Linked DNA regions of Styela clava. The protein of the gene in region 4 purifies or fractionates together with the protein of the main gene of each other region. This does not show direct contact. Links are inferred from orthologs where the notes say so. Each region holds a gene or a part of one and is shown on either strand. Other genes may lie near its edges. The genes, in order: PSME3-interacting protein-like, F-box only protein 7-like, proteasome assembly chaperone 1-like and proteasome subunit beta type-7-like.

Region 1 (8,279 bases), on a different chromosome or scaffold from region 4:
TGGCGATATCTTGCCTAATAATAACCTCGAGTGCTGGAAAAACAACACAAATTTGACGAATCAAAAGGTCGCAAAAATACGATTCCAATCTATTTATAGTCGGCTGTTCATCACGTATTTTATATTATTTTAGATTAGTAATCTTTCATTTTAGTCATCGTGATAGTAATCTCAACTCAAAGACGAGAAACGATAAATATAATTAAATTATTATGACAATAGTCAAGATATTATAAATGCTAGCATCGACCATGGATTGAATATTTTACGCAACAGAAAACTTGTTATCCGCAGAATTTTTTTTTGTCAACGGGTGGACAGTTACAAAATCCAAGCCAAGTCAGTATTTTGAAAAAAAATCGAATAGTTCGCGGGCCCTCCCCGGTTTCTCTCACCAAGTGAGTGATTTTTTTTCAACATTTTTATGTGATTGTGTGTCAGCGTTTGTCTATCTATGACGTCTTATGGTTTAAAATTTAAATGTATTGGGTAAAAAATTTGATCGAGACATAAAATTCCAAGAGATTCTCAAATACGTGAATGTAAGTCTTGCCATGGCTGGACTGTAATTTTACTTTTTTAGCTACGTTGTTGAGTATGATGAGACGATCAAATGGCGACTAACTTATTATGCTCGAAGCTCCTTGATCAATGTGACTGCTTCATTATATTTTTAAACGTCGACAGCGTGAAAGGCTGTGTATTACTAGCTCAATGAATATTCTATTGATACATTTAGTTATTATCAACAATGTGGAAGTAGGAAGTAGATCAAAACCTTTCATGAACTATACCAGGTTGGTTCAAGGTTGTCGACCTCGCGGGCCACACTATTATTTTTGTATTGTTCGCGGGCCACAATAGTGCCAAGAATATGTTAACAGTGCAAAACAAACACTTTTATTGTCAAATACATTGATCATTATTTAACTTTTTTTAAGCTAAAGCATGCAAAAACCACAAAAAAAACTCACTAAAACGTGCAAAAATCCTACTATATTTTCAATCTTTTCATAACGGAGAAAGTATCAAAAAGAGAAACTGCCGTGTTAAATTGTCACCGACACAACTTGCAGACATATCAAGCAAGCATTGTGGTATTTTCGCTCCCACACCCAGTCAAAAATATGTTTAAATTGGTCAGCTTTATTTTTAAATTCATGTTTACAAAATAACTTACACGTAACTGCAAATTGATTGATTACTAATTTGAGATACAGGAGGGTAATTACTCAATTTTCTGACATATAGGCAGCATTTTTTGTAATACTGTTTAGGCTGGTTACAAAAAAAAAACACCCGGCGGGAATTGTATTGTTCGGCCATAACATTAATATTTAGTTATCAGGCATAGCCAACCTAGGCTAATAGATTCCTCATTCGATTTTCAGTTTTCTATGAAGCCTCTTTTGTTAGCATATATTCCCAACCAAAAAGATGAACAGCCAGATAAATATTTCGACAGCCTACACATCTTTCAACTTTGCTAGTTGCCTCAACTAGACAAAACACTAGTCAATTCAGTGCAATGACATTAAACAACATGATGCGCAACTCCGCCATTTTTAGCCGAAGATCGTATCCGATAGCACGCTCCACTGCACATACTTGACGAGACGACAACGAGCGGATGTGTGCTGCTTTCAAGGAATAGCACGAATGGTGTTCGTGCCTGCTTTGACAGTTGTTGTCGATTTTAATGATATTTTGTAAAGTTGAGGTAGAAAGAAATTGGAAAAAGGTAAGGTAAATACTATTGTTGTATATCACACCCGGGCATCGCACTGTTAAGTACATGTGGGAAAGCCAGCTTTTGTCAAATACTACGAAGTTATTAATTCAGTACGGTACGTAGTTGTCCATTTGCCGAAATTGCATATTTTCTTACCCCTTATGGTTTCAAATAGTTCATGCACCTCCATTTAGATTTTTTGTAATCAGTGAGGATATATACTCATTGCTGTAACCTACTATTGCTCATTAACTTTTATTTGCGTATTGAATCAAAGGGTTAAGTTCACCTAACATTTTACTCATACCGGTCTATATTGTACAGTCTGATCTCTCAAGTATTTCAAGTATAAGAATGCTTGTAATTTTCTGACTAAACCCTTTTATTAGTTGGTTTATATACCAAATTCAGTAAAACATATTTTACATAGACATGGGATATTAGATTTATTAGTTTTTCCACTCTAAATCATATAGACTGCTTTATTTATTCTTAACGAAAATTAATAAATCTCCTCTCTTTCTTCAGATGGGAAAGTTGTGGAAAAACCTGTCTAAGCATTGTGAGACTCCTGCAGCACAAGAGGCAATAGCAGAAATAGTATGTATATCAATCAAGAAATTAATCCGACATAAAGCAAAACTTTCAACTATTCGTCTAACCTCAATTTCCTATTATTTATTCACAGGACAACTGTAGCAGAAGGGGAGATATCAGAAGTCTGGCGACATATCAGTGACAGTGTAATTCCAAGAAATATAATTGAAGTACTCCATTAATGTTTGCAATAGAAGAACTTTTGGTAGTAATATAGATATGATATAGATTCATGATAAAATACTGTTATATATTTTGGACAACTTCAATCTAGACCAGGGATGTCAAACTCGCGGCCCCAGAGAACTTCCAGTGCGGCCTTCGAACGCCTAACAATAATTGTTATAGTATTTTGGAAGGGTTTTTTATCTAAATGTAATAGATTTTTCAAACCTTTTAAAGTGAAATTGATTATTCACACAGAAAACAATTTACTGAAAGTAGTTTTGGAAAATTAATTTTTTTTTGTTCACATTTTGATCCAATTGAGAATAAAAGAATACTTGAATAAAACACTTGAGTGATTAAATTAAACGCAAAGTACATGAAGAAGGTAGCATTTTCAAAGAAAATGGGAATTGCAATATTTCTGCATTTCACAAAATTCTGAAGCACACTGTTTAATTTGTCATATTTACATCAATACAATGAAAAAACACAATAAGCTCAGCAGTCAATATGACAAATTCGATGACCAACTCCGAACAGAAAATTTCCATGTGTTTTTATATTAATATAATTATACAACGACTTAGTTACTAAAAATCAATATCGATGATAATGCAAGCAATCCTATGCCACGCAATGTGGCACGAAATGTCTTGTCGAAAAAATCTGTCATTTGTTTTTTTTTACTGATCTATACATGGTATGATAAAAGTAACTTTTTTGCATTACTGGAATTAATTAAACATTCGCAAAGATCCAGATTAACCCATGATCATGTGACCTCGTTAGTTAGAGTTGGTAATACAAAATCATATCAGCCTGGCCTTAGTATGCTGGTGACACAAAAAAGATGCCAAACGTCAGGACAAATGTAATTAAAAAAACATTGAGTTTATACTGTAGTATTTTTGTTAATTTTAGGTCCATATATTTAGATTAAGTCATTTTTTTTAGTGTATGTATTATTCTTTCCTTATCCAAAGCTTGTTCAAAAATGATTTTGATGGCTGTACATATAATTTTATGATTTTTTGTAATAAATACAGTGCAATAATAGTGGAATGCAAATATTAATATGTAATTGCGTTTGAAATTAAAGAAAATAATAAAACTTAATCCAACTGTTTAGTTGCATCCCAATATATGTCACAAACTAAAACTATCTTGAAAATATCTTTTAAGTAGACATTATCAAAAACTGTTTGCGGCCCTTTTTACAATTTCCAACATGCAATGCGGCTCTCGAAAACCCATGAGTTTGACACCACCCATCTATTCTAGAGTCTAGACGATTAAAGCATTGCTTTGGGAAATAATATCACTTCAATTGAATTGAAAAAAAATCTCGCTATATTAATTACAAAATCGTTGCTATCATAAAGGTAAACCAATTCAGCAACTCGGAATATATTGGCCTTCACAAAGCAATGGAGGCAAAATTCTATGAACTTTTGTTCTTTTCTTTGTCTTGAACTTTTCATACTCCACAGCCCCTATTAATTTTTTTTTAATTTTAATTATCATGTGATGGTCATACATATCTTTAACTTGTATTTTCTGTCATGGTGTATTATCTCAATGTGTCAAACTTTTAATAAGTGTGCATATTTTGCTTCCAGATGACATAAATGTATTGCCTTGTTTATTACCTCAGCTTGGAGTATTGACAAGAAAAGGGTGCCAGTAAATTACGTAAATTTTTTTTTAACTCTCTGTTATAATCAGTACTCACAATTAATAGGAATTGTAAACAGCCAACGTTCAATGAGAATTATATGCGAAACCCCTCAGAATAAATTTGTCTTCTAAAATCGGAGGAAGGCAAAACATATAGTTAGTTTCCATTCACACAAGTCTTTCAAGATGACTTGTTCGAACCAAAATAAATGAGCATCGTCAGGTGATCGGTAAGGCTGCAAGTTAAATCAGCCCTGCAACCTTCTGCATAGAAGATAATATTAAATAGTGGGCTATGAGCGAAATTCCTAAGTTTAGACACATACCTATCTACGAGGCATTATGTACCAGCAATGTTACCTATGATTAACTAAATATGTAATATGTCTCATAAATTCACCAACTAAAGCAAGTTCGATAGGTGCAAACTTTGTGTTATGGAATTGTATCGCCGTTAAGAGAAGTATAAACAGTTTTACTGTTTTGTATGACACCCTCTTTAAATGAAATTTCAATGTTTAAACGCAAACATTAAAATTACTAACTTTGAACTTTGTCATTATCTGCAAAATGTCCCACACAAATCTTCACGCTATCGCGTTTGTAATCTTCTATGATAAAAAAAAACGTCTATGATGTCCAGAATTACTCTTTACAGCTTGTCTGCCATTCCAGCTTTCCAAATGAGCAAAACTTCTTAGATATAGAGATTATTTTCTTTTGTTACAGGCGCAAAAAGGCTGGTACTACACGTAAAGAAGACGCCGAGTAGCAGAAGCGAGCGGAAAACGGCCGCGAAAGGCGACGAGAAATATGTGCATTGGAGCGTATCATGAAATACAATCTTTCGCATGTAGTCTTATGGAGTGACGTCAGAGTTGCCTATCATGTTGTTTAATGTCATTGTTCAGTGGAATTAGTGATGTAACGTGTCAAAAGATTTTTCTGGTTCTTTTTTATCATGAAACAACACCAAATGCGACTTTTTGTTTACCCTCTCGCAAATGCGACGCGGGCCACATGTGGCCCGCGGGCTTGGGTTTTGACCACCCTGAACTATACCATACTACTGTACTGTACTAGTGTCAGTCTGATTGACTATCGTACCGGCACCGATCGTACCGTATCATCATGGTTAACTGAATATTCAGTTAACCATGGTATCATCCAGCTGCAATATGTAAAGTTTGTAGGATAAAAATGTTTTTCGATAACATCTCATCCTCACCGCCTCTAGCAGTGTAGGATAATATATCATCCTCTTCACTTCACTCATCACGGGTCTCGTGTAGTTTCGTACCTAACGTACTTCTAGTAGGCGTAGCGTAACAATTTTTTGACATGCCAATCCTAACCCTCACCTGACTACGCCATCCAAAAATTACGTCACTACGACGTCACAGTGACGTAATAGAGCCCTTCAAACTATGCGAACTGTCATCCAAGACGCGAAGACGAGAATCCCAAATCGAACAGCCATTTCTCTCGTTTTCTCGTCGCAACGATCCCGATAGGAGAGAGGTCGCTGACGTCAGTCAGTTCTTTATCGTCGGCGCCGATGCTATTTCGGGCGATCGTACGAGTATTTGGCAAGCTCTATGACGTGATTGTGACGTCGTAGTGACGTAATTTTTGGATGGCGTAGTCAGGCGAGGGTTAGGATTGGCATGTCAAAAAATTGTTATGCTACGCCTACTAGAAGTACGTTAGGTACGAAACTACACGAGACCCGTGTGCGACCTATTGCATTTAGGCTATTGTTTTCCAGTTATTGCAATTGCTGCTTACGAATGCATATTTTTCATTCAATTTGTTTAATGAATACCGATGTTTATTGGTCTATGTGCAAACATTTTACCGTATGGTTTTAGATACATTCTGTAATTGAGCGCATCAACTAACGTTAATGATACGTTTTTAGCCGGATAAAATATTTCAATATTCATTTAATCCACTAATCTGTTTCATCTGCTGACTCACAATGAGTTCTGGTATTAAAAGCTTTGTATCTGAAAAACAGTTGGAAGAAAAGAGGAAAGTTCGACAGGAAGAATGGGAAAAATTAAGAAAACCTGAAGACCCTGTTGAGGCACCAGAAGAAGTTCATGACAGCAGATCATTGTTTGAACGATTGCAAGAGCAAAAAGACAAAAAACAAGATGAGTTTGAAGAACAATTAAAGTTTAAAAATCAATTCCGAGGGATAGATCAAGATGAATCTAATTTTCTTTCTGATGTCTCAAAGAGAAACTTTGAACTTGACAAACAGAAACGGGATGAAGAAAAAAGAGAACTTGAAGACTTTCGAACTGCCGTAGCTCAGTCAAGAGAACTTCCAAATGTGCCAATAGATTCTTCAACAAGAGCGGAGGACAAAAAAGAGTTGCCAAAAAAATCACAGGTTGTCAGAAAAAATCCACAACAAAGCATATTGAAAAATGCTGTAAAACGAAAAGTACCAAGTTCTCAAACTTCTAATAAAGAGCAGACAAACCCATGTCCACCAGAGAAAATTCAAAAATCCGAAACTGAATCAAACAATGCTGATAAGAACCTTACACAAACAATAGTTTATCCATCAGCAACTAAGCTTGTTGGTGTATTACCTGGTTTAGCAGCATATAGTGATGATAAAAGTGAAGAAGAATCGGAAAGTGATAGCTCTTCTGATGATTCTGGTTCTGTATCAAATAATTTATTATCTTCTATTGTTCATAAGTCTCGATGACTTCATTTTTTGCTCTTTTTTTTCAAATTCGCACATAGAGTTGTACTAGTTACTTCATGTCAACTCTTAACTTGTACCTAAGTTAATGAAAATTTTTCCAGCTGTGTTGTGTCAACGACTTTGGAAATTTTCTGTTAATGCCGCTAGCCCACATACTCACAGGGTTAGGGTCTCCACCTTCTTTTGTTGCAATTCATTGTTCAAAATTTCAATCATGTCTATTTCGTTGTTTACAAATTTCTGTACAACCCCATAGTTATGAACATTTAATTTTCTCTTCGATTTATTTAATGTTTGGCTGAGATGGCCAAGAATGTTATACCTAACTAGCATATCTGGTTGAATAAATATTGTAATAAATTGGGTAGGCAATACCAAACTGGGTTCTTTGAAAAATAGTTCCCTGTGTGTGACTGACTGTGTGAAATGCCCGTATTATTATAAAAAAACGCTTCCTCTGGCATGTCTGATATTTTCCTTTTTTTAATGAATGTTATTAAATTATGAAGGTATTTGAGGTCACCTGAATACAAAATCTCAGTTTTTAAAATTATTGTACCTGATGACAATTATCATTTATTGGCATGTTGCATTTTAGGCTAACGCTTGTTTAATCTGTGGTGTTTGTGTTCTATGAATAAATCTGCACTTTTTGTTTTTTCTTAATAGGTATATTTAAGAATTATGGGGTCAAAAAATAAATATTCAGTTTTGTTACCAACTTATAATGAAAGGGAAAATTTGCCATTAATTATCTGGCTATTGATGAAATATTTCAAAGAAATGTGAGTTTTCGATTTTAATATATATGTATCTTATCATATTCAATTATTCCAATATAAAGTATGAGCAAATAAACAGTAGAATTTTAAACTATTGATAGATGGTTATCTAAAATATGGATTCTGTAATATTTCCTCCCAGTTATCTGAGCCATTTTTTTTCACATTGATTTCGAAGTTAAAGATTGTTAAATATTTCAGAGGTTGTGATCATGAAATTATCATCATTGATGATGGGAGTCCAGATGGTACATTAGATGTCGCCAAACAGTTGCAGGATATATACGGAGAAGATAAAATCGTATGTTATTTTATAAAAACCTCAATAAATAAAAATTGATATCGTATGTTCTGATTTCATGCAAATTATTTCATTTAAAATACTGTAATTTTTGTCAATATTCAAATTTATACTTCTATATTTACGTTTTGAAAGCATGCTATAAAGATCACAAAGCGAATTTAATATCATTTTATTCTAATTTTGAAGGAAACTTCTTGAGCATTTCAAGTTGGGCAAAATATTATGCTAAGTTTAAGTTTTACATCTTGATTTTATATGATTACTGTGAAAATGATACATACATACATTCAA
Region 2 (8,114 bases), on a different chromosome or scaffold from region 4:
TCGCACATAGGTCACACTTTTTTGAACCAAAAGCTATGCCAAAATCGGTGGTGCAACATATACACTCAACATAAATGCAAACACCAGTATTCTTGTGTAGGAGAGTCCAACAAATCGACCAAAAGAAGCAGTTCCATGAAGAATGCCAAAATTGTATAACAGTTTTAAAAATTATAAACTATAGGTACCTCCCATGTGTTTGCTGAACATTAATTTTGGTATATATCCCAATGCCTACCTTCAGTACAATATCAGATGCTTGTGGATGGAAAAATTCATTCAACAGCTTTTGTCCAAGATCACATGATGGTGATGGAAGATCGGAATCTAACAAAAGCTTCGACTGAAGGAGATTTGGTGAGAGTGAACCTGTCATCTCCGTGAGATTATCAGAAAAGCTGTAATGGAAAGGAATCCACTGAATGTCTTATGAATTCTGAACTGATATTTCCTGATGTCCATTGTATATAGTCAAATTTCGTGCTTTTTAATAAGATTGAATTTTGAAATCCTCAAGATAGTCATTTCAGTCATGAGCTGAGCTCATTTCCTAGTCTGAACTTGTACTAGAATTTTTGCACATGCCACATCAAATTGGAATGCTGATAATCTAAATTTTTACGCTATTCAGACAATCACAGTTTTAGATGGAAACTCGAGCCTTCTCGAACTAAGTGAGATGAAATTTTTATATACCTGAAGCCAGTGCTGGGGCTAGCAAACTGTTCAGCTCAAAGTGGAGATACGAATTCGCTGTAATAACTCTTTGGACATGAATTGTAACCTTAATTAGCTTTTAACACAAATGATTGGTTGCTCAACACACAAAGCACTCTAACCCAATTCATATGCTACCTACCTTTTTACATCTTTTTCTAACGTTCGAGCGAGGTTCTTAGATAATTTAGTTTTAGTCAAATCCATCTTCAAAGATCTGGTGATAACATTCCAATTTCAAACACAGAATGAAAAGTCAATCTATTTACAAAACATTAAAGAATATTTATTGCTCAAATCTTATGTTAACGTAAAATTAAATAAAGAAACTGAAGTTTTATATCACAAAAATTTCAAATTAAATCAGCACAAAAAAGAAGATCGGCGAGTTATCACAAAAGACCACAATCAACATTTATCAGTAACTAAAAAATATATTTCAACGAAATTATTGCCTGAATATAGACGATTCATCAAAATCTAGTAAGATTGAGCTTATTTTCAAAACAAGTTGCCTACCAAGTAAAGTTAAAATGATCGTAACCTAAAATGTTAATGTTAAGCTATTCTGGCAATCTAAAGGTTTAGATAAAAATTGTGAAAACTTCACAGCTAACAATCTGTAATTGAATTTACCACTTTTGCAGTTATTTTTACTACGATTCACAAACATTCTAGGTCATTTAGGAAACGTTACAAGCTTAGAAAACAGCTTACTATTTGATACAATTGACACAAACGGGGCCATGTGATGGAAATGTTCCTATTTGCATTTATCCTGTAATTATACAGATGCCTACAGAATGTTGCATGAAATGAATTTGTTATATCATCTCAATTATTGCTGTAAACACACAGATTTGAAAAAAAATCACACGTAGCAGGGAGAAGAGTGTAAAGTAACAATAACATGGGAATTTAAAGTTAATTTACATGAACCCATATCTCTGGTCATGTCGTGACCTTCTTTGGCGACCTTGAAAAGGCATCGTTGGAGCCCCAAACCCTTCAAAATCAGCGTCCATCATTCCACCACCCCTTCCAGGTCTGAAACCTCCACCAGGAAATATGGGGTCATATCGTGAACCAGGAAGAGGATTATCTGGATGCATTGGGTGATTGGGTCGTGATGGGGGTAAGCGTCTGGGTGGGGTTGCAAATGGTCCATAAGGAAAAGTTGGATGCAAGTCATGTTCACCACCTATCATTCCAAATGGTTGCTGATCAGGAAATGGAACAGGTTGACCAGGAATTGGGGTCGGAAATTGGGGCCAGGGGTCAGTTTGATAATCACGATAATAGCGCTCCATGTCTTGTTTACGTTCCTTTTCTCTAACGAAACGCTTAGAATATGTTTTTTTCCAAGAATTTTCAACACTAATGGGATGGGATTTGAAATCCTTTATATACAAGTTTCTCCATAGATTTTCATCATTGGTTATGTCCTGTAATGCTTTGTTTACTTGGGATAAAGATATCAAGCTTTTACAGTCTAGCTGTGAAAATATTAGTTGTAAAATTTCAGGAAATAACGACAAAAGTCCATGAACTGGTGGGAGTTGCAACTCTTCTCTCATGTTATTCAACGCAGGATGAGCGATCGTTTCTTTAACTTGTCGATTCAATTTTGATAAATTCTTGTAGACAGCGGCAGCATTAGAATTCTTAGTGGAGGCTGTGAAACTTTGAATATAGTCTTTCGTCGTTATTTGAAGAGTTAGGACTTGTTCGTTGGTATTGCGACACGGTTGCGCAACTCCATTAACAAGAACGAATGAACCAAGCTGATTGCAAGTGAAATTGAATTTCAAATCTGGGCCTGCTGCATGACTGTATTCTACTGCGAATATTCGAGATTGTAAATGGGGTAATATGTCACTATGCTCGGTCATTCCTTCAATATAAAATCCACTCTCACACATCATAAAATGCAAAGCGATACAAAGCGCTTGAAATTCATTTTTAATAAAATCATCTTCATAAAGTTTTTGCACTAAGTGTGGAACATCAGATGAACCATTACAGTCTCTGAAAAATATGGGACCAGGTGATGAACAAGGTATATATTCTGTAGTTTCTGTTTCAGTAACTGTTGATGGACCAGGTTGATCTTGCTCAAAGGTTTCTGAAGCCACGGACATTTCAGACATCACAGGAGTAACCGAGGATGTGTTTTCTTCCACAGAAGTTTGTGAAATTCCCATAACCAATGCATTATCACCAAGCAAGACCTTGATGAGATCCCCAGATACAATTCCTGCTGATTTTAAATTACTTTCTCCTTCTCCTGCACATGTTTTACCATCCAAACTAATGTGAAAACTAGCATCAATATTTATTCCCCATTCTCCAAACGCAGTTTCTCTTATTGCTGACTTCAAAGTTTCAAATGTAGGTTGCGGTTCATCTTCAATAGTTATTATTTTCGTCTTTTTCTCGAATCTTACTCTTAGCTTCATTGTTATTTCATGTTGTCAAAACTTATGTTTTTAACCTATATTTTACCTAATATCTATCTAAATTTAAACACAAGATACAGGGATCAAATTCAATATCAATTCAAAACAGGTCCAAGAAATGCAGAAATGTATGGGAACATATTCAATCACATAGAAAAGTGGCAGAAAACCAATATCAATGCAGAAATTGACAATCATTGTAAAATACAGTCGAAACAGTATATTAAATAGGCATGAAACTTAGAAGCAATGAACTAAATTGAGAATTTTTTTGATACGTAAATTATTAAATATTTCATGCACTATAAAATATAAATTCTAGGTTGTTGGGTGCATGAGACAGAAGCCAAATTAAATACAAACATGGAATTGATAATATGATATTTCTTATCCCGTAGCATATTTGAAAAGCGATACATTAAAAGATATATCACATTAAAAATCCAGTATACTCTATAAACAAACGTCCTAAAGAAGCAGATGAGTTGAAATGCTAAATTAAACATTTTGTCTGATTAAATCTGAATACAAGGCAACTTTACTAGCTGTGGACATATCAACATATTTCATATCTGTATATTTATCGCCAATATCAACAATAATGCCACCAAGAATTGTAGGATCAACTTTTGTCGTCAGCATCAATTTTTCATTCGGTTTCAAGAATTTGGTTAATGCTGCTTCCAGATTTTTTCGTTGCTTAACATCCATCTCTGTTGCCGTGGTAACTGTTGCTGGAACTTCTCCCCTTTCTGCACTCATGATTCGAGCGTATACTTCAGCAGTTTCTCCCACAAGATTGAGACGTCTGTTGTCAGCTAATACTCCGAAGAAATTGACAACAGTGGATGTCATTTTGACTTTACTAGCAACTTCTTTCAGGAGGCCTAACTTGTTTGATGTTTCAACAAATGGATCATGCATGTAATCAGCGACTTTCTGATTCTTCAAAATCTCCTGCAATGTGGTTAAATCCTGCGCGACCTCTGATTTTGCTTTAGCTTTGGAAGCAGCTGAATATAATGCGTGTGCGTAAGTTCCGGATATTCCAAACACAGGAATTGGCGTTTTCACCAAATCTTGGCGAAGAGCCGAAGACGTGCTGAGCCTTCTACAAACCAATTTCGTAATATTCGCAGCCATGTTTATAACTAAAACGAAACGAAACGGACCAACCAACAAGTGAAGAAAACGCGTCTACAAAGTTACAAGGTAGGTAGTACACACACCTCTGTGCAAGGTCGACCGATTGAATTTTACTTGCCAGAATTAATCTATAAAAATATACAATATGATTATAGAAACAAGTTATTTTGAATACTTAATATATAAAAAGATTATATTATGAATGTATTGCTTGAAACCAACAAAATTAATCAATTTCAACATAAGGAAACATTTTGTGCTTTCAATTTTTTTTGCTTTCACAGGTGAATCTGGCATGAGTATTTGACTGTTCTGATGATATCTCAACGTCGCCCACTGGCGATCAGGGTTCTGCAAATTTTATGACGCATAGAGGCAGTAGAGGTTCTACGTACAAATATTGTTGCCAGATTTAATAATGTTAAATCACTCAGTAACATTTATTATCGAAAAAATATGAGTAATTTCATGTGGACAGTATAAAAATGATTTGAGAACAAATTCAATATACATGTTAGTTTTGTTCTTTAAAATATAATTTGAAAAGTAACGAGGTGATGTCTTTGTTGTTTCAAATTACGAAAAGAAATGGCAAGTGACATTGCCGAAGAATTGCATTTTCCGGAATAGAATTCTTAACATTCTAATAATTTTCAAGTTCCTGTATAGTCTGACTTTCGTTTTATAGAAAGTTTAGATGATTGTTGACACATAGAAGCGCATTGTCGCTTACAGTACATCTATAACATGGAACCTCCGCCTGATTGTTCGTCTCATTACATCAAAAATGATGAATATTTTCCACCAATTACCCATTCATCGTCATCCAAGCGGAATGAAAATGGCAATGGATGTACAAACGGGGATTTCCTTGATATATCGGCGAAAACTGGACATTTTGGATTTACAAAAACGGATGTTTCCCAACCATCTACAAGCAAAACACTGGACAAAATAGAAGGAAATCCCTCTGTTAGGTTAGCTCATGCTTTTGATTCTGTAAATTACTGAATTGTGGAAAAACCGCCAGCTATTTTAATCTTTATTTTTTTTTAAGTGTGTGTTCTTGTGCTTGGATTAATTTTAAAGCATCGTATCCCCAAAGCAAGAAAAGACGTAGGGTGGCTTACCCACTTTGAGGCCACGACCTATTTGCGGCCATCAACTTCATCGATCTAATTAAGGCTGAAAAAATTAACGAACCGCGACGATATTTCTCATGCGGTATCGTCCACTTGTTCCTCATAGTTCTGCGAAATTACACTAAAATGCGGCCACAAACAAAAAAGTTACGATTGAAAACTCGACTGAAGAAAAATAAAGGACCTTTTTTCATGTCGCCAACTACCCATTGTCCCATTAAAATACTTGAAAATCCATACAAATAGGTCTATAAGAAATAAAAAGATGAAATTTGGCAAGGGGGTAGAGTTGTATTTCTTTTAACCATCTTTAAATTTTTGCGCTTCTACATTTAAAGGAGGGGGAATAGGAGGGTGCGATTTCCAATACGTCGATAATATCTTTGTTGACCAATTTGCAACCACCGTGTTTTTGTCTGTTTGATTGCTGTGATGCGGTGCTTTGTATATAATTTGACGAGTTTTGTTCGAAATGACCGTGTTCTTAAAATATATGACGGCCAGAAATGCAATTAGTAGTCCAATTTTTTCACGCATGGCTGCGTATGCTCTAGCATCGACGCAGCAGAAACAATGTTCATGGCTTGAAATCCGTGATCGCACACTGGTCGTTCGGTCGCAAATACATCTTCTGAGTGTCGTACCTTGGTAGTTTGTATAGCTTTAACCCCTGATCGTAGAAAGTTTATTCGAGGTTTAGCGTGTAGAATAAATGCCAATGCACCTACGGTTAAAAAAATTAACGGGTTAGCAGACTGGCTACACCACCCACCAAAACTCATAAACGAATTTTAAGGCGAGGTTGAATGAATATTACAAAATTTCATCGACTAAAAATACTAAACTCTCGAAGTAGTCTTAATTAATAATAACTTAACTTTGAAAGCTCCCTAATAATTGATCAAAGATCTCCAGGAAAGCACTGCACTAAGCTTTGCGGGAAATTATACAATTTACTACATTCTGCGTGGGGTGGAATTTAAACTCAAGATTATATTTAATCATCTACTCTGATATAGTCGGTTAACTCTAAATACAATGCATTATTTTTTTAAATGTAATGTCATAAGCAAGTTCATAAAATAATTCATAACATTTGCAGGTCATCAGCCATCATAGCATATTCAGCAACAAAAAACAATGCAATGTTCTCCCATCTCGCTCCAGAAACAAACTTGAATCTGGCACCTTCAAACTGGCTTCGAAAAACGGTCGGACTTCGCCCAGAGACTGTGTTGCCAGGTGGCAGATATTCAAGTAATCCAAATCGTTCGTTCAGTGGATTCAGTATGGCGAGTGGCCACCTTGATAGTGTCGGCAAAGTAGATGTTGTGTCAGATGCAGAGGTTTGTGTTATGTTCACATTATATATAATCGTTCTTGAAGTAAATAGAACTTTTTAAACCATATTATTATATAAATTATATCATTCTGTCTAAAATTAGTTTCATCTGCATCGACATATCAATTGCATTGCAATTCGAGTGCTACAATTGCTGGTTTTGTAACGAACTTTCACATACTCATCTTACAAACATTAAATTCAATAAGTTCTTTGAGTTCTGTATGTTTTATGTGAGTGAATAATTGTAACCTTGTTTTAATCAATCTTTCATGTGCAATGTTTCAAGCCCTTGTATGTGAATTTTTAGAATATAGAATATGTCACATAGCACAAATGTGAAACATGTCTTTTTGAACACCTTCAGTTCCTGATGCTCAACCCCGTCCTACTGTACTTGAGAAAGATACGAGTTTTTCTGAAAATATTAGCTCATGACATATTAGTGTCTATTTGTCCAGAACCCCGTTAGTAATGAAGGTATGAACCCTATCTTGAAAACTGCTGAGAATTATAACTAACTTGTATTTCTCTTTTTCAGAATATCAAGAAATTGCTGAAGATGCCGTATAACAAGGCCCATGTAAGCATGGCAATACACAGGATTGGTAGAACCTTGTTATTAGAAAACTTTGATATAAAAAGATTCACTGCTGAGGGTGAGACTTGTATGATTGTATATATAATAAAGTCTTGAAATTTTTTTAAAATAGCGAAGGGAATTTATCGAACCCATATGTCGTTTTGGCCCTCACAGATGTATTAATAAATGAGGTAAAAATACTCAAACAATTATTGATTAAATAACAACGAACCTGGTTAGTAAGATATATTGGGAACTGACTTCATAACAAAATGGAAATTGTAAAGGGACTTTACGGACCTTTATATAGTAGTAAATAGTGAATACCTCATATTCAACAAGTATTGTTTTAATCTGCAATTGAATGTGATCATCTAAAGTTTGACATCTTATTTTGAATGTAATGTATCAATTGTTTCTTACCAGCAAAGCATAATACGAGAATATCGGTCTGAGACCGAAGACTTATGAATTGAAAGTTAGGGGATCCCCCAAAACAGCACTCTTACTCCATAATGACACCTTGTGTCCCATCACTAATTATTAATAACTCGCTAATTATACGACATAATTCATCCAAAATCAATAGGCTTCTGGTACGACATATGATGAATGCACATGCAAAATCTGGAGCAGATTCAATCTCCCTTTCGCGTGCATCTAACAGACAAACAGACAGACAAACACCTATCAACATACTTACCGATTAAAATCGACAAGTAATA
Region 3 (8,620 bases), on a different chromosome or scaffold from region 4:
GGGAGGAGAGCTGCAATCCCTTCGCACATAACTATCCCCGCATGGGATTGGAACCTGTGAAACTCCCGGGGGGATCAGAGATGCGGTGGCGAGCGTATTCCTAGATGGAGAATTCAATTGAATTCTGGTTATTTTTTGCATTAGCACTGGCGTTAAACTTTAGTTATCTATTCAACTTTTCACACTTACTAATAGATTACCTGCTACCTGGGAAACAATACCTTATGGCAATTATTGATTAATACCTTACACGAGTCAAGCCTGCAAGTAGGCCTACGCCTACCAACAACAGTAGTTTGTCATCTGCTTTCCATTAAAATGAGGGAGCTAGCTTTTGAATATTCAAAAAAAATTGATAACGGCACATTATGACTTACCATCAACGAAGTGCTGTCCGCAAACAGTGAAACACAAGTGAGATGGCTTCTGGACTTGACACCAAGCAGTCCTGCTAATAGATGATATCCACATTGCGCGACGTTCCGTATCTTTTGAAAACAGTGAAATATAACTGAAGATCCATTTCGTTGTCTATACTATACGTACAGCCAGCGGAACAATACGAAATAACCATTTTCAACAGCCAAACAAAACGGAAACGTATAATCCGACTTGCAACTGACAGGAGCCAAATGGACGTTTTTGTTTTATTGCCGTCCAGTAAACAAGGTCACGTGACCCGTGCAAGTCCTCTATAGATGGAGTTAAAAACTACTGGACTCCATAATTTCAAAAAAATACATATTTTTGAAAATAAATGAACACTTACTTTATTTAATATGGGATAATAATAAGTCTTCATCGTCCTGTTAAATTTAGAGATTGATGGGAAACTAAAAAATGACATTTTTCAATCCGGAGCTGAAAGGACTCTGGCCGTAAATAAATACCAAGCAATCAGGCTACATGCATGCATTTCAATGGCCGTGAAGTACAAGGCTCAGTTGTGGAGTTTGCCCGGCGCCGCGCAGTGTTTTTATTTTATCAACGATCGTTGAATGTTTTTTATATAATGTGATATTGAATGTTCAACCTAAAATACAGTCTGACAGTAGGGGACTTATAATACCTGTATGTGAAATCAAAATTAAAACGCTGACGATAGCACGCGTTCAATAATATCGGCTGGCGGTATGCAAAGTGAGTATACAGGTAGGAGTTAACGTTATCGCTTACCCTTACTGCCTTATCAGTAACTGTAGACTACCGATGCCGCTCTGGTACCGGTACTGTTCTGTACGGTGTATGCGGTACCGTTATGGTTTATTGTAATCCTGGATTGCTGCATATTCTCACGTACGGACATATAGACATAAGCAGTTGTTCACATGTAGAATTAAGTTTTTACAGTTATTGAATCAAAGACCAGCCAACAGCTTAGCAACTGTGCAAGATAATATCGTAAAATCTGAAAATTGTAGATATAAATTATATACCGGTAATATACCTAGCAAGTCACACCATATTTGAGTCTAGTGAAGTAGGCTAAATGCCATAACTTAAATAGCCTAATGCCAAACAAAAATATGACATGAAACTAAATGTCGCGACTGCTTAAAAAAACGGCTAACAAAAATGTGATGTGAAAAAACAGCCAGAATTTTTATTTATTTATAAATTTATCGTTTATTTATGGTTATCGTTAAAGTCGTTATGGTGTCTCTGCGATTAGGTGCACTAAACCCCCATATTTTTAAGTATTCAGTTTTGTTATATATCTGTATAATACTGATATTATATATTTATACATATATATATATATATATATTTTCTTTTCATAAAAAAAATCTCAAGGTAGCTATTCCAGTATTCAATAATGGATAAGCTAACAATAATATCAGGAGTTTTATTTGTCACTGCTGAAGTTTTTGCTGTTGCAAGTCTTGGACACCCAGATTGGATTAATACGGGTGGACGGGCTGGTGATATTACGTTGGGTCTAACAATGCAATGTCAAACGATTTATGGCAGAAAACAATCTTGTTTTGCTCCAGATTTACCACCAGAATGGCTCGGGACTCGACTGTTTTTAGTAGCCGGAATTGTCTGTTTGGGGATAACATGTTTACTTGTTGTATCTTCACATTGGAAGCGTGATAGACTAATTTATGCAAGATGGATGGCGTTTATAGCAATTGGATGTTTATCATATGTTGGAATGTTATTTCCGATTGGGTTTCGACAAGTTACTGTTGGAGGTGAAGCTTTCAAATTGCCAGAATTATGGAGACTTGGGGATTCTTATAAATTGCTTTGGGTGTTTTCCATTATCTTGTCATGTTCCGGTTGGGGCATGTTGATGATGCCAATGAGATTATGGATGATGAATCGGAATTGATAAATATCATGAATTGTCATAAAAAATAATTAAATTAGTTTTTTGGTTTGTGATATGTGAATGATTTTTACTAAAATGTCTATTTTAAATCATGCGACATGATCCAAATGGCCACACCTATTTCTGTCTACATTTCCGTGTGGATGAAATTTCATCAATCATATTTTTTCATGAAAGTAAGCTCAAGGCACTGTGAGTAGCAACTGAGTGAGCAACCTTCTATGCAGGGATGGCCATTTCCGAATACTAAACTATTCCGAATACATTCTAAAATAATGTTTTCGAATCTGGAATTCCGAATACATTCTAAAATCGAAAATAACACATTTTTGTTTTAGTTGATTAAAACCCAGTAAATTAGAAAATAAGCTTCAATAGAAATATCAGAATAAAGCCACAAACCAACAGTATATGTACACAAAGTTTATAGCTATCGATAAAAAATAATAGCAACTTGTGACACAGTCAGTTCATTAAAATTATTCATTTGTACAAATGACCATATGAAAAGATAGCCAAGAAGTTGACTGACGCTTTTTATCAGTGGTACCATGATATACGATAATAGTCAAGTCTATTGACAAAAATACTACATGTATTCAGATAATTGTGTATATTTTCTGAGAGTAATAAAATTTATTTGTAATACAGGCAACAACAATCAAAAATCCATTATGCCTTTAAAAATTCTAATATTTAAGCCTAGAGTATTCTAATACCTTTGTATATTTGTATAGTAATTTTTGTGAAACATATTGTTATTATGTGTAACATATTGCTGTGTTTGGAATTAGAAATAAATTAGTAGAGAATAGATGACCACCACTGCCAGCCGCGCAGCCAGGATTTTCGAAATCGGAAATTTCCATTGCCGCCTGTAACGCGCTCGTTAAAAGAGCCGTCTTTTCAGCGTATAATGATCATCCTGTTACGTAAAATATTCAATCCATGACAACTACGAGATTCTAAAATATCTTTATATATTAATTTAATGTGTCCAACGTAATAGTAAAACAATACTATTCGGTCCACGGCGATCTGTGACCTAAAATTACGAGATAAACTGCCTGATGTATTTAATTTTAATACGTGTTTTTGCAATCTTGCCAACTCGTTATCGCCGTAAGAAAAATCTTAAATAATTATATAAAATCCTGTTAAGTGTAGAGTATAATTCATTTCATACAATGAATATACATATAAAGTTCAGCAGTAAATTAAAAATTCATATTCATCGCCTCGATTATGCCACCTGTTAAAAGAGTCGACTTTTACAACAAATAATATAACAACGAATATATATTTTTCTGTTGTGCAAAGTGATGAATTCGTGACCGACACGGGCATATTTAAAATGTCTTGCTTTATTAATTTAATTGTCTTCAATTTAACCTGCGGTTGCGTCGACAAAATAAAATCCTCACCAGTCTTATTATATACCATTGCAATCCGCGGTCATAAAAATAAAAACGCGAGGTGAACTGCCCGATAAAATATTGTTTTGATCCGTATTTTGCGAATTCGGCAAATATTTAGATGTACTTGTTAACAGTGACTTCGCTCGATCGAAATGCTGCCACTCTGATTATTTTTAGATAAAACCGTTCGAAAAATCCATAAATATGCTGTAATATCTCAGAGTAAAATTTATTTCATCACAATAAAATTGATTGAATATACTTTAGATTAATTATATTATATACATCCTCACAACCCGGGAAAAAGTCGCGTTTCAAACCTTGTATCGTGTTAACACGAAAATATTCGACGGCAATTTGAGGTAATGGATAATCAGGCAAATCCCGCCCTCAATTAGTGACGATATGTTTCTAAACGCCGACCAAACATAATGTGTGCCAGAGGCCCACGAAATTTTGCAATTTTCACTGCCTAGAAAATCGTTTTTTAAATTTTTGCGGGCCTCAATAAAACTTATATTGTTTACGGTTTTATTTTCAGTATTTTAAATTGCCGCTTTTCAATCAAAAAGTTGCGTTGTCTTTAGAAACTCGCCGCCGATGAACGTATTTACCAGATTCACAATTCCGTGCGCCTACAAAAATAAAATAAATGTTATCGTTATCGTGGAACAAATTTGTAGAAAATTTTCGTTTTAGAGAAAATAACACAATCGTAAAGGCGTTTACGGGCCTAAATAACACGTTACGCTGATGAGTGATGAAATCAATCACGCGCAAGTTTCTATCGAGAATGTTTTTATTCAACGGAAACGTCTCGAAAGCGGCGTGGAAAATGTGTGACGTCACACAAATATCCGATATTCTTATGAACGTGAATTCCGATATTCGAATGACGAGATATTCGAATACTTAATTCGAATTGGCCATCCCTGCTTCTATGACATTTTTGATATGATTTAATGCTGTCGGACTCCTAAAATATATATTCCCAACTCTCATCATTGGCTCTCTCCGATTGGAAGAAGATTGGACTATTTTGTTGTCTTATTATTGATGGTATCACACTATGGCAAGCCCCGCCCTACGAGGCCTATCCACCATCACATGCTTGACTGATCAATTATCCTTGCCTAATTAAACTGTTTTTTTCAAGGTCTGCCATTCTATACAGTTTAAATGTCCTGATTTTGATATCATTATGCTTTTATACATTTATATTGTCTTTGTATGTTTTGGTATTGACTACCAGGTTTTTGTTTATTTTTTCTATTATTAACACCGAATTGTAAATCATAAGTTACATTCGCAGTATTTTTTTTAACAATATTCAGTTTCTTATGTAGTCCTATATACTAGCAGTGTTTGTATTATTTCTGTTTGAAAAATCTTGTCTATATTCAACATCATCTCAGTATAAGATTAATAAAGGTGCCCCTATTTAAATCTTACAATATGTAGATGTTTCTGCCATGCATTCTATTTGCATAATAATAAATCAGATTTGTGCACCCTAAATGCGCATAATATACAGAATTGTTGTTCGAATTTTGTTTTAATTACTGTTTTACTGTGCTCATATTCCAAGTCATCTCAAATACTTGATTTGTCCATAAATATGTATTAGGTCATAAAAATGTTTTTTCACATCATTTCTTTATCTCGAATGAAAATATTTTTGTTTGATGTCACAATATCCTGACACAGTAACTTCTAGCAGTATGCACATGTCCAGTATAATCATTGATTGCATTTTATGTTTTCCAACGTCCGTTGTATTTTCAATAGTATTGATATTACATACCGGTACTTATTGTTACAAAATGGCAACTTTTCATGGAGAAATATTACCAGTTATTTCAAGAGCTGTTGACGAGGAGGAAGAGGAGAATGCTTCTAAACCAAGGTTTGGTATTCTTCTGTTTCTATGTTAATGAACATCAAGACTGAAATTGGTTTATCTTGATTCAACTTATAAATCGCTGAATGTCGGTAATTTTTGACTTGTTACCATTAAAATTGTTCTTGGTCGCTGCAAGAAAACTTGTTAATTATGAGGTTGTGTAATAGCTTTTTATAGAGTTGTTTTTGTAATGTGATTTGTAATGTTCTGGGCAAAGTTTTAAATTAAGAACAAATGTATCAAAATAAAGGCATTGTGGAACAATTATCTAGATACATACAGTATATAATGTTTTCAATTGTTATCCCGTGATTGATTATTGATATTTTATTTTAGAGACTTGGTGTTGAAATGGTCTGCAGATCATGATCAGAAAGCATTAGAGTGTGATAATCTTATTATTGCTGCTGGAGAAGTCGCATGGAGTGAGTTATTTCATGTTTATTTTTTACGGACCTACCGTAGTTTTTATATATTTTATAATATAATATTATTGTACAAACTTTTACGATGTTAAATTTGTGATGTAATTCACTAGGCCTTTTGAAATATAAACTAACATTTCTCTTTAGGTTTTCTCAAAATATATTATGACCTGCAGAATTCTGACAAAGTAGTTGAAATCATTGAAAATTCAAAAGAGGACGATTGTATTTATGAAGCTATCTCAAAACAACCTAATATCGGTAAGTAACTCAAGAACACATTGCAATTTTATGATGGATATAAATTGTTGCAAATGTATGTTATCACTTCACCTAGAGGTCTCAATTTAATGAATCTGGTCATATTTATCCCATGGAGAGGAGAGACGATAGGACTGCTCAATCATATAGCATATGGCCATAATTATCTCCCACCCATTCGAGAGTGGTTGGCACAGGATTATCACACAGAGCAGCTTTCAGCATTCGCTTGATCACAATCATATTTGATACAGTGGAACTTCTAATGTATAAAATTATTGTTTACAGGAAAACTTGGCATATAGCATGATTTTGCATCTTTAAAACATTGATTTGGATATTCAGAAATGAGATAAAATACAGTAATTGGAGTATTCCAAACAACATGAATATAGATTCCATAACTGCATCTAATTAATGCGCTACTACTTCAAAGTATCTAATTTAATTATCTGACTGATTCAGTCGAGGAAATGATGATCATCCCAAGGGATGGTCTGTTTCGTCTCAAGGGGGTGTCTGCATCCAACATTGGTTTTGATGTTTTAAATTTTGATAGTTTTCAATATTTAAAACAGTATTGTCATTGTTTAACTTTCAGATAAAACAATACAATATACTTTAATTTCAGTGTCAACAATCTATGAAAAATTTAATAAACAAAAAAGGAATATTTTTGTATCCTGTAAGTCATATATTCCACCAGAACAAATTTGGCCATGGACAGCAAAGGTAATTAATTCTTAGGTTTTTTTGAAATTTTATTCGTTTGTATATGCATTACATAATCTGAGAATTACAGAATCTGACAATATTTTACTGAGAATCCAGAACTGTTTGGCAATATTTTTTGTTGTATTTTAATCTCACATTTCATCACTCTTTATCAATTTCAGTTCTTCAATATGGTCAAACCGTTAAAAGATGTGTTCGTCTTGTCATCTTCCACGATACATGAATATAAATGTGAAGACATGAATTCAATTAATACTCCGTTTGTAAGATCTCTATCCACAACAACAAAACCTAAGAATCATCCAGTATTTACTGTACTTGAACAACCAAATTTAATGAAAAGTATACCTGCTGCAAGTAAGCGTTTATTTTTTTGTTCATTCAAGCCCGATTCTGTCACAAGCGTGTTGTCTTTCATTCATGGTTGTAAAAATAATACATATTAAGTCACAGCTTGCAAAGATCTGAAAAGCCTCTTGGAAGAAAGGATTATTTGGAAGGTTATAGCTCGTTACGTGGATAACTTACTAGCTCGTATTTAGCAGTAACTGACGTTTCTTGTAGCTCCCAGGGAATACTTGTTTGTGGTAAAATGCTATGATTTCAAGACTTTATGAATGAAGCTAACAAAAATTAATACAATTTGTGGGTATAATGGTCAAGTAGTTAGTTGCCGGTCTGATTATATTGCCTTCATAGGCTTTTATCAATTAATGCCAGATTAATCTTTCAGTCTGATGTACAGAGTTGGGTACGTTATTGAGTACGTTAACTGAGAAATTTCCTTCCAAATCCAAGAATTCATTATGTCAAGTTCAGAGCCACAACCAATGTAAGGTTATTAAGGATGAAAATTCCCACAGTGATCAATCTATAATTACCTTATCTTAGCCTAGACCAGGGTGGTTCAAACCCAGGCCGCTTCATTATCTATGGCCCGCGTCACATTCTGAGAGTAATCAAAAAATTACACTTTTACACTTAATGCACTTTTCTTGTTTCACAGTCATCACCCACTGTCAGTTTCAAAATATTCCTGCAACTGCTTACATCTGTTATACTGAAAATAATCAACTAGATTCATTATCAATTCAAGCTTTTACTGAGCTGCTAGGAACACCTCAGTTTAAAATATCAGTAGTAAGTATAAGGCTAGTCACAATTTCATTTATGATATTGTAACATAAATACTCATGGTAGTTGTGGATTAGACTAGAATTTTGTGAATATATGGCCATCGGTGATTACTCCATGGAAGCCTCTCATTACTTTTTTCAGAGATTTTTTTCACTCTGTAGTATAGAGCAGTGTTTCTCAACCTATGGTTCACAGCTCAAAATTGAGCCGCCTGAAGTGAAGATTTTCCTGGGTTGCTTGTTTTTAAACCTAAAAGTTACTAATTTTACTTTGTTTTATATAAGTCCTTCAATTTTGCGACTATGAAAGTACTACATGCCCTTTAGTATTTGAGCATAGCCGTAGGCCGCAGGTTTTTATCAAATTTATTTAAAAAAAAATTTTGATCCCTTGAAAAAAAAGG
Region 4 (8,291 bases):
ATGTACAGGGAGTCCTCGACTTACGACGTTGTTCCCTTCCCGAGACGCGGTGTAACCCGAATTTCAGTGTAAGTCGGAACATTATACTGTACAGTACATAAATTACTCCACTACATATCGTACTGTATTGTAAAGTATGGTACTGTAATAAAATGTACAAATAATGCAAAGAATTATTTTATTAAAAAAACAGAAAACAAATAAATATCACATGAATAAAAGCAAATACTGTACAGTACAGTATTATTTTTTATATTTTTTATGGAGTGTGTTCGTATTCTCGAAACAGCGTTATGGAGTGCGCGAGCGTAAGTCGCTACCGTCGTAACCCGAGGACTCCCTGTACTGACATAAGAATTGTGACTAGCGTGCTTAAAAGTATGAATTTATTCAGATATTTTGTACAAAGCTCCCAGGCCCACTCAAAATGTAAAACTACTCGCACGTACCAGATTAAACAGAATTAAAAACAAGTTTCATGGGCCGCACATCATCAAAAATTGACATTTCTCCATTTGCCACACAATTTTTCTGTGCAGGCCATATCTGGCCAACGGGCCGCACAATTTTTTCTTGTAGGCCGCAGGTTGCACATCCGTGATTTAAAAACATAGGACTTATTTATTCAATGTATAATAAATATGAGTAGGCAATAGTAAAAAGTGCTTTGAGATGTGCCTCCTGTCCTATTAGTAGATGCGAGAGCGATTGATCACATTTTAAGCAAATTTTCTTGAAATTGTCATGTGTGTGACCATTTGGTATCTCTATTGTTGATGACATGTACCTGATATCTGAACAGATATTGTTTTAGCATTCTATTTGCCGTTGCAACCCTGGTGACGCGTCCAGTATCGAGTCGGTGGAGTTCTAGGTTCGATGAAATCATCTGTGTTGTCATTTCAGTATCGGCAGCTGTCCCAGCACCACAGCAGCTATAAAACAATATACAGTTCTGTATTGCTTTACTCTATAGCATGGCTACTCGACTGGCCGACCGCGGTCCGAATCCGGACCTTTCGGGTATTCGATTCGGACCGCGCATAAATCTTCATTTTGAATCATTAGCCCCCCTTTTAAAATTTTCGTTATAAAATCACTTTTAGTGATTTAAAAATATATATGAAAAGAACTATAACGCCATAACAAACAATCTTGATTAGCTAATTATCATTAGTCGGCCGAGGAATTGCGTGTTTGAAGATGCCGAAATATAATTTCTGGAAAGTCCGGACCCAAATATTCTTGAAGTTTTGTATAAGGATCTTCGGTAAAAATAGTTGAGTAGCCCTGGTCTATAGCAGGGCTACTCAACTATTTTTACTGAAGATTTGTATACAAAACTTTAAAATTATCTGGATCCGGTCTTTCCAGAAATTATATTTCGGCATCCTAAAATGCGCATTTCTTCGACCGGCTAATGATTGTTAGCTAATCAAGATTGTTCATTATGGTGTCATAATTCTTTTCACATATATTCAAAACTATAAAAGTCATTTCATAAAATGAAACTTAAAAAGTAGAGCTAATGATCCAAAATAAAGAATTAGGTGCGATCCGAATCAAACACTCGGAAGGTCTGAAATCGGACCGCGGTCCACCAGTTGAGTAGCCCTGCTCTCTCCAGCAGTAGTTCCACCGAGGGGCCACAGAGCTCTATTTCAAACACAATTATTATAACTAGTGCAAAACATAAATTTCACGATTTCGAGAAAATACATAGGATCAGAGGAGAATTTCGTACTTGCGTATCTCGAACTGTTTAGCTATTCAAACGTGAACAGGGGTCGCAAAACATTTCAATATATCGAAGGGGTCACGACCTATAATTTTTGGAAAACCCTAACTCATAAGATCAGGGCTTGCGTAACAATGCCGACTTAACAGGGTTTGGTTCGTGGATAATTTTAATACATTAGAAGGGGACTCAAGCTAAAAAATTTCGGAAGCCCTGAGGTAGATAAAGTAGATCCTCCTAAACGCATATAAGTAAAATTTTGAGATACTATACTAAAGTTCAGGCATCTTAAATGAATAATTAGGAAAAGCAAAAAACCTACTAAATATTGGGTGAAATGTAATGAATTTTGGAGCAGTTTTTATCTGCAACGATATTTCCTTCAGTGGCCCGAGTGTCAGCTCCCAGAATTACTCCATCAGCGTAGACGAGGCCGCAAATAGTTGTCCCGGTTTTCACCGCTCGAGGCAGAGCAAGTCCTTTATTCTCAAGAAAAGTGTTCCTGTGGAAAAAAAGTTTTATGTAAATTTGTTGGAAATAGAACTGATCTTTAGAAAATGTTTGAAAACTCACTTTGTAGGCTATTTTACCTCTTTTTGACAGTTATTATACAAGAAAAGTGACAAAATAATACACGAGAAGAGTTTAATTAAAACAAGAAGCAAGTCGGGGCAAAGCCACAAATACAAGAGCTCCCATTGAAGAAGTTGTGTGTTACTCAATTTTACAGCAGAAATATTTCAGTTGGTGTAGCGCAAAACTAACTATCTTTACTTTATGCTATGTGGAAGAGAAACCTTATGCTTATATATTCAGTAGTGAATTACTACGGTAAATTTGTGATATAAAGGGTAGTTATATTTTACAGGCATATACAAAAATTATTGACTGATAGGTGGATTTTGATAGATACGGTACTCATATTTTGGATTATCGAAGCAGTCTTGCACAATGTAATATCAGCACACCCAAATCACATGCGGTCATGCCATTGGCGGAAATTTCAGTGAAGGAAATATATTGAGATATAAACAAATAAATCTGCATAAAACAATAAAAGGTTGAATTTCATAAAGTCATTTTACAATTTCGATTTTGTTATGACGTCAGTTCTCGATGAATCTTAAGGGTTTGTTTTATTCTATTCAGTGGTTTTCCCCCCATTCAATATACCTGCCAGATAATTAATCACAAAATGTTCTTTTCAAAATCCCAAAACATTTTAGGCCTAGATAATTACGGTAATTACCTTGTGTAATTTTCAAATGAAAATCCTCCTTCCGGACGTGTGAGGCACTTGACTGTTGCCATATTTGTACTGGTAATTTCTATTAATTAAGCTAGTGGGGCTAAATAATGAAGATACATAATTAAGAATACGATAAAAATAACAGGCATGATTATTCGGCGGCACATAATCGCCACCAAGTGGATTAATAAAGCCCAACCGGCAACCAATGTTGCGTAATTACCACCAGAGGTGGCACAACCGATGTTAGCAAATAAAATAAAATTTACTATCGTCTTTTCCATATCATACCCTCATGACGTTTAATGCATAGAAATTCGACAAATTACATCGACCGGTTGTGCTTTTTTTTATCCATGTCATGAATATTCAGTGTTTAGCACACTGGCATAACTACAGTTCAATACAAGTCAAAGTCAAAATTTTGGGAATTTTAATCAAAACAGAATAAAGTTAGCCAATGTTGTGTTAAATTTAATTTTACAATCCCAGGGTTTCATGTTTAGAAAGATCAATATTCCAGGATTGTATCTTGCAATTTATTACAATTTCAAATATTCCTAAAAGAATTTTTTAAAGCAAAATCGAAATTTTTTGACAAAAATTCAGAATAAAGTGTCAAGAGCTAATGAAACTGTATAGAGTTACAGCAAAGAACAAGAGCGTAGCAAGCCCAAGATTTGGGGGGGAGCAATATTTTTCGCATAAAGACATAATACAACACTCACTTGTGCCTTTTGCTTCGAACAAGGCAAGATAAAAGCAGGCACTGATATTTAACATTATCTCTACAGACTTGCTTAGCTGTCAAAATTATCCAAGGTATACAAAGCAAGCCAGGAAGAGTCGGTTTTCAGTTAATCGTTCGAGAATAGCGTAAAATGATGTTGGAAAAGGCGTAATAATTTTGTCTCAAAAAATTGTGTTTAAAAAAAAAGAAATGCTAAAAATTCTTGGATGGGGGCCATGGTTCTCAGCCACCCGGCTACGCTTATGGTTTGGGTTATAAGGGGATTTGCAGCACAAATCTCTAGCTTTCCATACCAAAATAGTCATACAAGACCTAACCAATAGGCCATCATAGATATGCATGAAGATTTAACAACCATTACGTAGAAATAACATAATCGAAATACAAAACATTTTTGATATTATTGCACTCAGGTATATATCACAACTAAGCGTCTCAGCGTTTTTGTCTCTCAGAATGAATATGGCAAATTATATTCTGGAATGCTAATACGAAATATAGAGCATTTTTACAACAGTGGGAAAAATTTCTTGAATTTTCAGAAACTGTTTTTCATTCAAATTAACATGAATCATTGTACTTATAGATTATAATAAACAGTACACTAAAAAAATTTATTCTCAGAACATATTTTCTGATATACATTACTTATTTCATATAAAAGAACGTGGCAATCATTGCTTTTAAGTACATTTTAAATGTCGTTTTACACTGATTATATTCTCAATATAATATTAAAATAATAAAAAATCAATTTGGCAACTTATTCAGAATTAATAAAGCCTGAACAATATTCTGATGACTAATTGCTGCTGACTGAAAATAATGAATACATTTCGGCTATGAGTAATGTTTTCCGAAGCCGATAAAAATGAGTAATCAAGACAGTTTATGATGTAACAATCACTTCAAACCTCCTTGTGCTCGTACCCATTCATCCGTTAAATTTTCTTTTTCATCAAGACTCAGCATTTTTCCAGCTCCGCTGAGGTTATATAACTCGTCTCTGCATCCGGCATAACGCATAACCTGTTCTGGTTTACAGCCAGTAGGTTTGAAGTAAATGAAATAAAGTGGGTACATCACGCGACCATCAGACGTTTCATGCACGTAGCTATAAATTATATAGCGAGGCTGTCGCTCAGGTAATTCCTCCATCAGTTCTTCAGTTGTGATGTCATCAAGTTCATCTTCAATTTCCACAGTTTCTTCAGACATATTTACTTTCAAAATTATTGCACGTGCGTTCTTGCTTTTGCTAAATTTAAAATCTTTTAAACGTTTTCCAACATCTTCTTGAATTGAGCACATATTCTCAGTTTGTAAGCCTTGTGACGCCATAATCTTTTTTATTTGTTTAATTACAATACTAAAAGCTGTTGAAATTGAGGTACATATTACTGAATGCAGTACGGCACACTTTACAGATCGAGAAACATTGTCTCGTTTTAGAGAATCCAATTTTGCCAATGAACAAACACCCCGCCCTTGGGAGACATCTGGACATGGTTGACCCTCACTATTGATGAAAATAAAGTAAAATGAAGTTGCGCAAAATACTACAAAGAAGCGCAATCTAAAAACGCCATCATTGAATTCCTTGGAAAAGAATAATCTGATTACCAAAGGAAAATATTTTCTATCTGGCATTTGTTTTGAACGAAAACGGCAATTTGGTCATGTGACAGGTCATGTGTAATTTCGATGATTATAGAGACAAGCATGGCCTGTCGTCTGGTTACCAGTCTGTGTCGTGTGTGGGATTAGATACCAAATAATTAATTTCAGATGCCTTGACACCTTGACTTGATAGTGGCAGTAGTGGAGAATATCCAGTCTGGATTTCATGGCCTTTTTGAACGAGAAATCGGGCGTGCAATCAAAAATTCCCGCGTGCAGATAAGAATTCCTGGCGTGCAATTATAAGTCACGACTGCAAGACAACTGCGCCCGCGTGCAACTGACTTTGACATTAGATACCTCTCAATACATCCGCGTAAAATTACTGGTATCGCATAAAAAATACGATGAATCAGACCAAAAATTGCTGTTTGACCTTTGACCCCAAACATTATTTCTACAATTTGTCGATGATTTTGAGAGTGTTTGTGCGACTTCAGATACCGGTACTGTTCAGTACATTCGTGTAAAATTATTGCATGAAAAATACGCTGAATCAGAGCCGTACCTGACCAGCGTTGGTGCAAAGGCGATCTTTTCGTCCATAACTATTCTCACAGGATTCCTACCATTCAACACGATATGGTCTTTTTTGCTTCGCAATTTTTCGATTAGACCAAATCTTGCAAGCTAGTATTTGTCGACAATTGTGGAGTTATAATATTTTGGCATCTTCATATTACTGGATTATTGATTTTAAAGCCATTTAAACCGATTTACATTGGTGAGCAATTGCAAATTGTCCGCGTGCAAAATTGAATTCGCTCGCGAGCATTTTTGCGGAGCGCTAGCGCTCTCGTGCGTGCACCTGCTATGGAATCCAGTCTGGGAGAATATGGTACTAGTTGAGTTTATAATGGACTATTTGAACAACGTTACCATGGCCCAACCGTCTACATGCGGCCTCTGGGCTGTACATAATTAGTCAGTCAAAATTATATTATAAGTATAAGTATAAGTATAAGTATATTTCGACTCCATAATCAGCATAACAATACATTTGACAGATAAAAACAAATAAATAAAAACTGATTATGAAATCAGGGGAGCAAACAAAACCTTAGATAAGGTTTATGACGTACAAAATATAAGATGGAAGGTTTTGCCGAGAGGAAGTGGTACGTGTTTACTCACCTAAAATTATTAAGTTATTTCACACACGCTCACATGCACCCACCAGCCACACACACACACACACAACCACTGAGAATTTATTTAAGTAAGAATAAGACGCGATAAATTTAGGGTATACTATACAGTAAACAAAAAAAATAAATAAATAAATACAAGAAAAGAAAAAAAAAATTTTCTGCCACACCATATTGATATTTTTGTAATGATTGCCATTGCCAAATTGATCGATCTTCTAATCGTTAATTAAGATATAAAAGGAAGATTCTATTGAAAACATATTGCCAAGCTGATTATAGTTGGAGTCAAATGCCAAGTTGCCCAACCAAAGTTGCCAGAATTGGGTGCATGAAGAGGTGGGCGAGACCATTTCATTCCCCAAATTAGAGCCTATTATTGCCAAATTATAGTCCAGATTGTAGTAAGTAATTAAAGTTACCGGTAACACTAAAATTACTATAATTAAGTAAAGTAGGATGTGGAAATAAATTGGTTACAAAGGGTGTAAGTGAGGTTTTTCATTCTTGGGTATTGATTTCAGACAAGGATATAGGAATAAGGTTGTTATTTCACAGGATATCGGAGTCTTTTTTTGTTTTTTTTCTTATGTGTTTTACTTCATTTAATCACTTTGAAGTAACCTGAAAAACAAAAAATAAAACTGCGAGTAGATGTTTCAATGATTGGGTGAAGGGGAACGCTCTGAACTATTTATTACAGGTAAAAAATAATTGTTTAATTAAATGGGATGTATTGTCATTGTATAGCGATGGATAGATGATCTATGATGACATTCTGCTTGGGACAGAGAAAAATTTATCACACCATGCAAAAAACACACAAAATTTTACTATCTATACCTTGGCCAACAAGTCAACTCAAACACCATGCCTTAACATAAAACGCATGCATACATAAATGATATAAAAACCACATCCAATTACAATGACCCACAGCAAATTAAAATCTGAAGGGGAGAAACCAACATAGCTCTACTGCTCGCCTAGTTGCAATAATTAGTAACCTTGCAGGAACAATATTGTACTATCTACAACCCTTATACCACCACTCAAACATAAGACCAAGCGTGTATGATAAGGACATCACAGCTAGAAAAAGATAAAAACACGAGCGTGAAGTGATAGAATGTGTGCAGTTATTTAAAGAAAATATCATCCGGGTACGTTAGCTACCTATATATTTAAAAAAATATATATATATACTCAAGCATGTCACAATACCATTTCTTTGGTGCTGAACTAGTTCTGGCCAAGTCGTGGCAAGATATAACAATATTATTATAGCTGTTCAACATTTTCATTAAAACAATAATGTGCAAGTGTGGAGTGTCCCAAGTTTTTGTCATCGAATACGACGAATACCACCAGTAGTAATTTTTTAATATTTGGAAACTAAATGAGACTTGACTTGTTTTTGAAAAGATTTTTTGGACTTTAAGGTCTTCAAATTTAAGGGAAGAGAATTCCAAAGTTTGGGTCCAGTAAAAGACAAGGAATGCTGACTCACGGATTTACTCATGAAAGGTACGAATAAATCAGAACTGCTTCTTCGGTTGGAGGTATTTTTGACAAGTATGTCATTAAAGCAATTGGGCAGCGCATTATTATGGAAGTCGTGAGCTAGAGATAATATTTCAAATTTCATCATATCTTCAACCTTAAGTATATTTAGTGATTTGAAGTAAGATTCTACACTTTCACGTTTTCTTTTACCAAAAACTA

The links.
Region 1: the proteins of proteasome subunit beta type-7-like (region 4) and PSME3-interacting protein-like purify together in Homo sapiens (co-immunoprecipitation; 3 studies listed by BioGRID and IntAct, with this or other methods). This does not show direct contact. The link is inferred for Styela clava from reciprocal best matches to the Homo sapiens genes PSMB7 and PSME3IP1.
Region 2: the proteins of proteasome subunit beta type-7-like (region 4) and F-box only protein 7-like purify together in Homo sapiens (affinity purification with mass spectrometry; 3 studies listed by BioGRID and IntAct, counting the BioPlex papers as one, with this or other methods). This does not show direct contact. The link is inferred for Styela clava from reciprocal best matches to the Homo sapiens genes PSMB7 and FBXO7.
Region 3: the proteins of proteasome subunit beta type-7-like (region 4) and proteasome assembly chaperone 1-like purify together in Homo sapiens (affinity purification with mass spectrometry; 4 studies listed by BioGRID and IntAct, counting the BioPlex papers as one, with this or other methods). This does not show direct contact. The link is inferred for Styela clava from reciprocal best matches to the Homo sapiens genes PSMB7 and PSMG1.

What each region holds. Positions count from the first base shown.
Region 1 is NC_135263.1:8,598,189-8,606,467, reverse strand, and holds PSME3-interacting protein-like, read left to right. Parts: upstream 1-5,627; 5' UTR 5,628-6,155; coding exon 6,156-6,902; 3' UTR 6,903-7,571; downstream 7,572-8,279. Other genes in the region: dolichol-phosphate mannosyltransferase subunit 1-like, read left to right, coding at 7,587-7,687, 7,886-7,985. UniProt on the Homo sapiens protein: Promotes the association of the proteasome activator complex subunit PSME3 with the 20S proteasome and regulates its activity.
Region 2 is NC_135258.1:7,334,959-7,343,072, forward strand, and holds F-box only protein 7-like, read right to left. Parts: upstream 3,200-8,114; 5' UTR 3,177-3,199; coding exon 1,647-3,176; 3' UTR 978-1,646; downstream 1-977. Other genes in the region: BTB/POZ domain-containing protein 8-like, read right to left, coding at 239-398, 860-924; ATP synthase subunit O, mitochondrial-like, read right to left, coding at 3,675-4,319; erythroid differentiation-related factor 1-like, read left to right, coding at 5,070-5,299, 6,567-6,810, 7,348-7,465. UniProt on the Homo sapiens protein: Substrate recognition component of a SCF (SKP1-CUL1-F-box protein) E3 ubiquitin-protein ligase complex which mediates the ubiquitination and subsequent proteasomal degradation of target proteins and plays a role in several biological processes such as cell cycle, cell proliferation, or maintenance of chromosome stability.
Region 3 is NC_135259.1:12,684,244-12,692,863, reverse strand, and holds the start of proteasome assembly chaperone 1-like, read left to right. Parts: upstream 1-5,441; coding exon 5,442-5,662; intron 5,663-5,995; coding exon 5,996-6,084; intron 6,085-6,231; coding exon 6,232-6,345; intron 6,346-6,976; coding exon 6,977-7,077; intron 7,078-7,241; coding exon 7,242-7,437; intron 7,438-8,086; coding exon 8,087-8,220; intron 8,221-8,620. Other genes in the region: modulator of smoothened protein-like, read left to right, coding at 1,817-2,338. UniProt on the Homo sapiens protein: Chaperone protein which promotes assembly of the 20S proteasome as part of a heterodimer with PSMG2.
Region 4 is NC_135254.1:4,864,872-4,873,162, forward strand, and holds the start of proteasome subunit beta type-7-like, read right to left. Parts: upstream 3,179-8,291; 5' UTR 3,050-3,178; coding exon 2,988-3,049; intron 2,241-2,987; coding exon 2,061-2,240; intron 936-2,060; coding exon 788-935; intron 1-787. Other genes in the region: glia maturation factor beta-like, read right to left, coding at 4,642-5,079. UniProt on the Homo sapiens protein: Component of the 20S core proteasome complex involved in the proteolytic degradation of most intracellular proteins. This complex plays numerous essential roles within the cell by associating with different regulatory particles.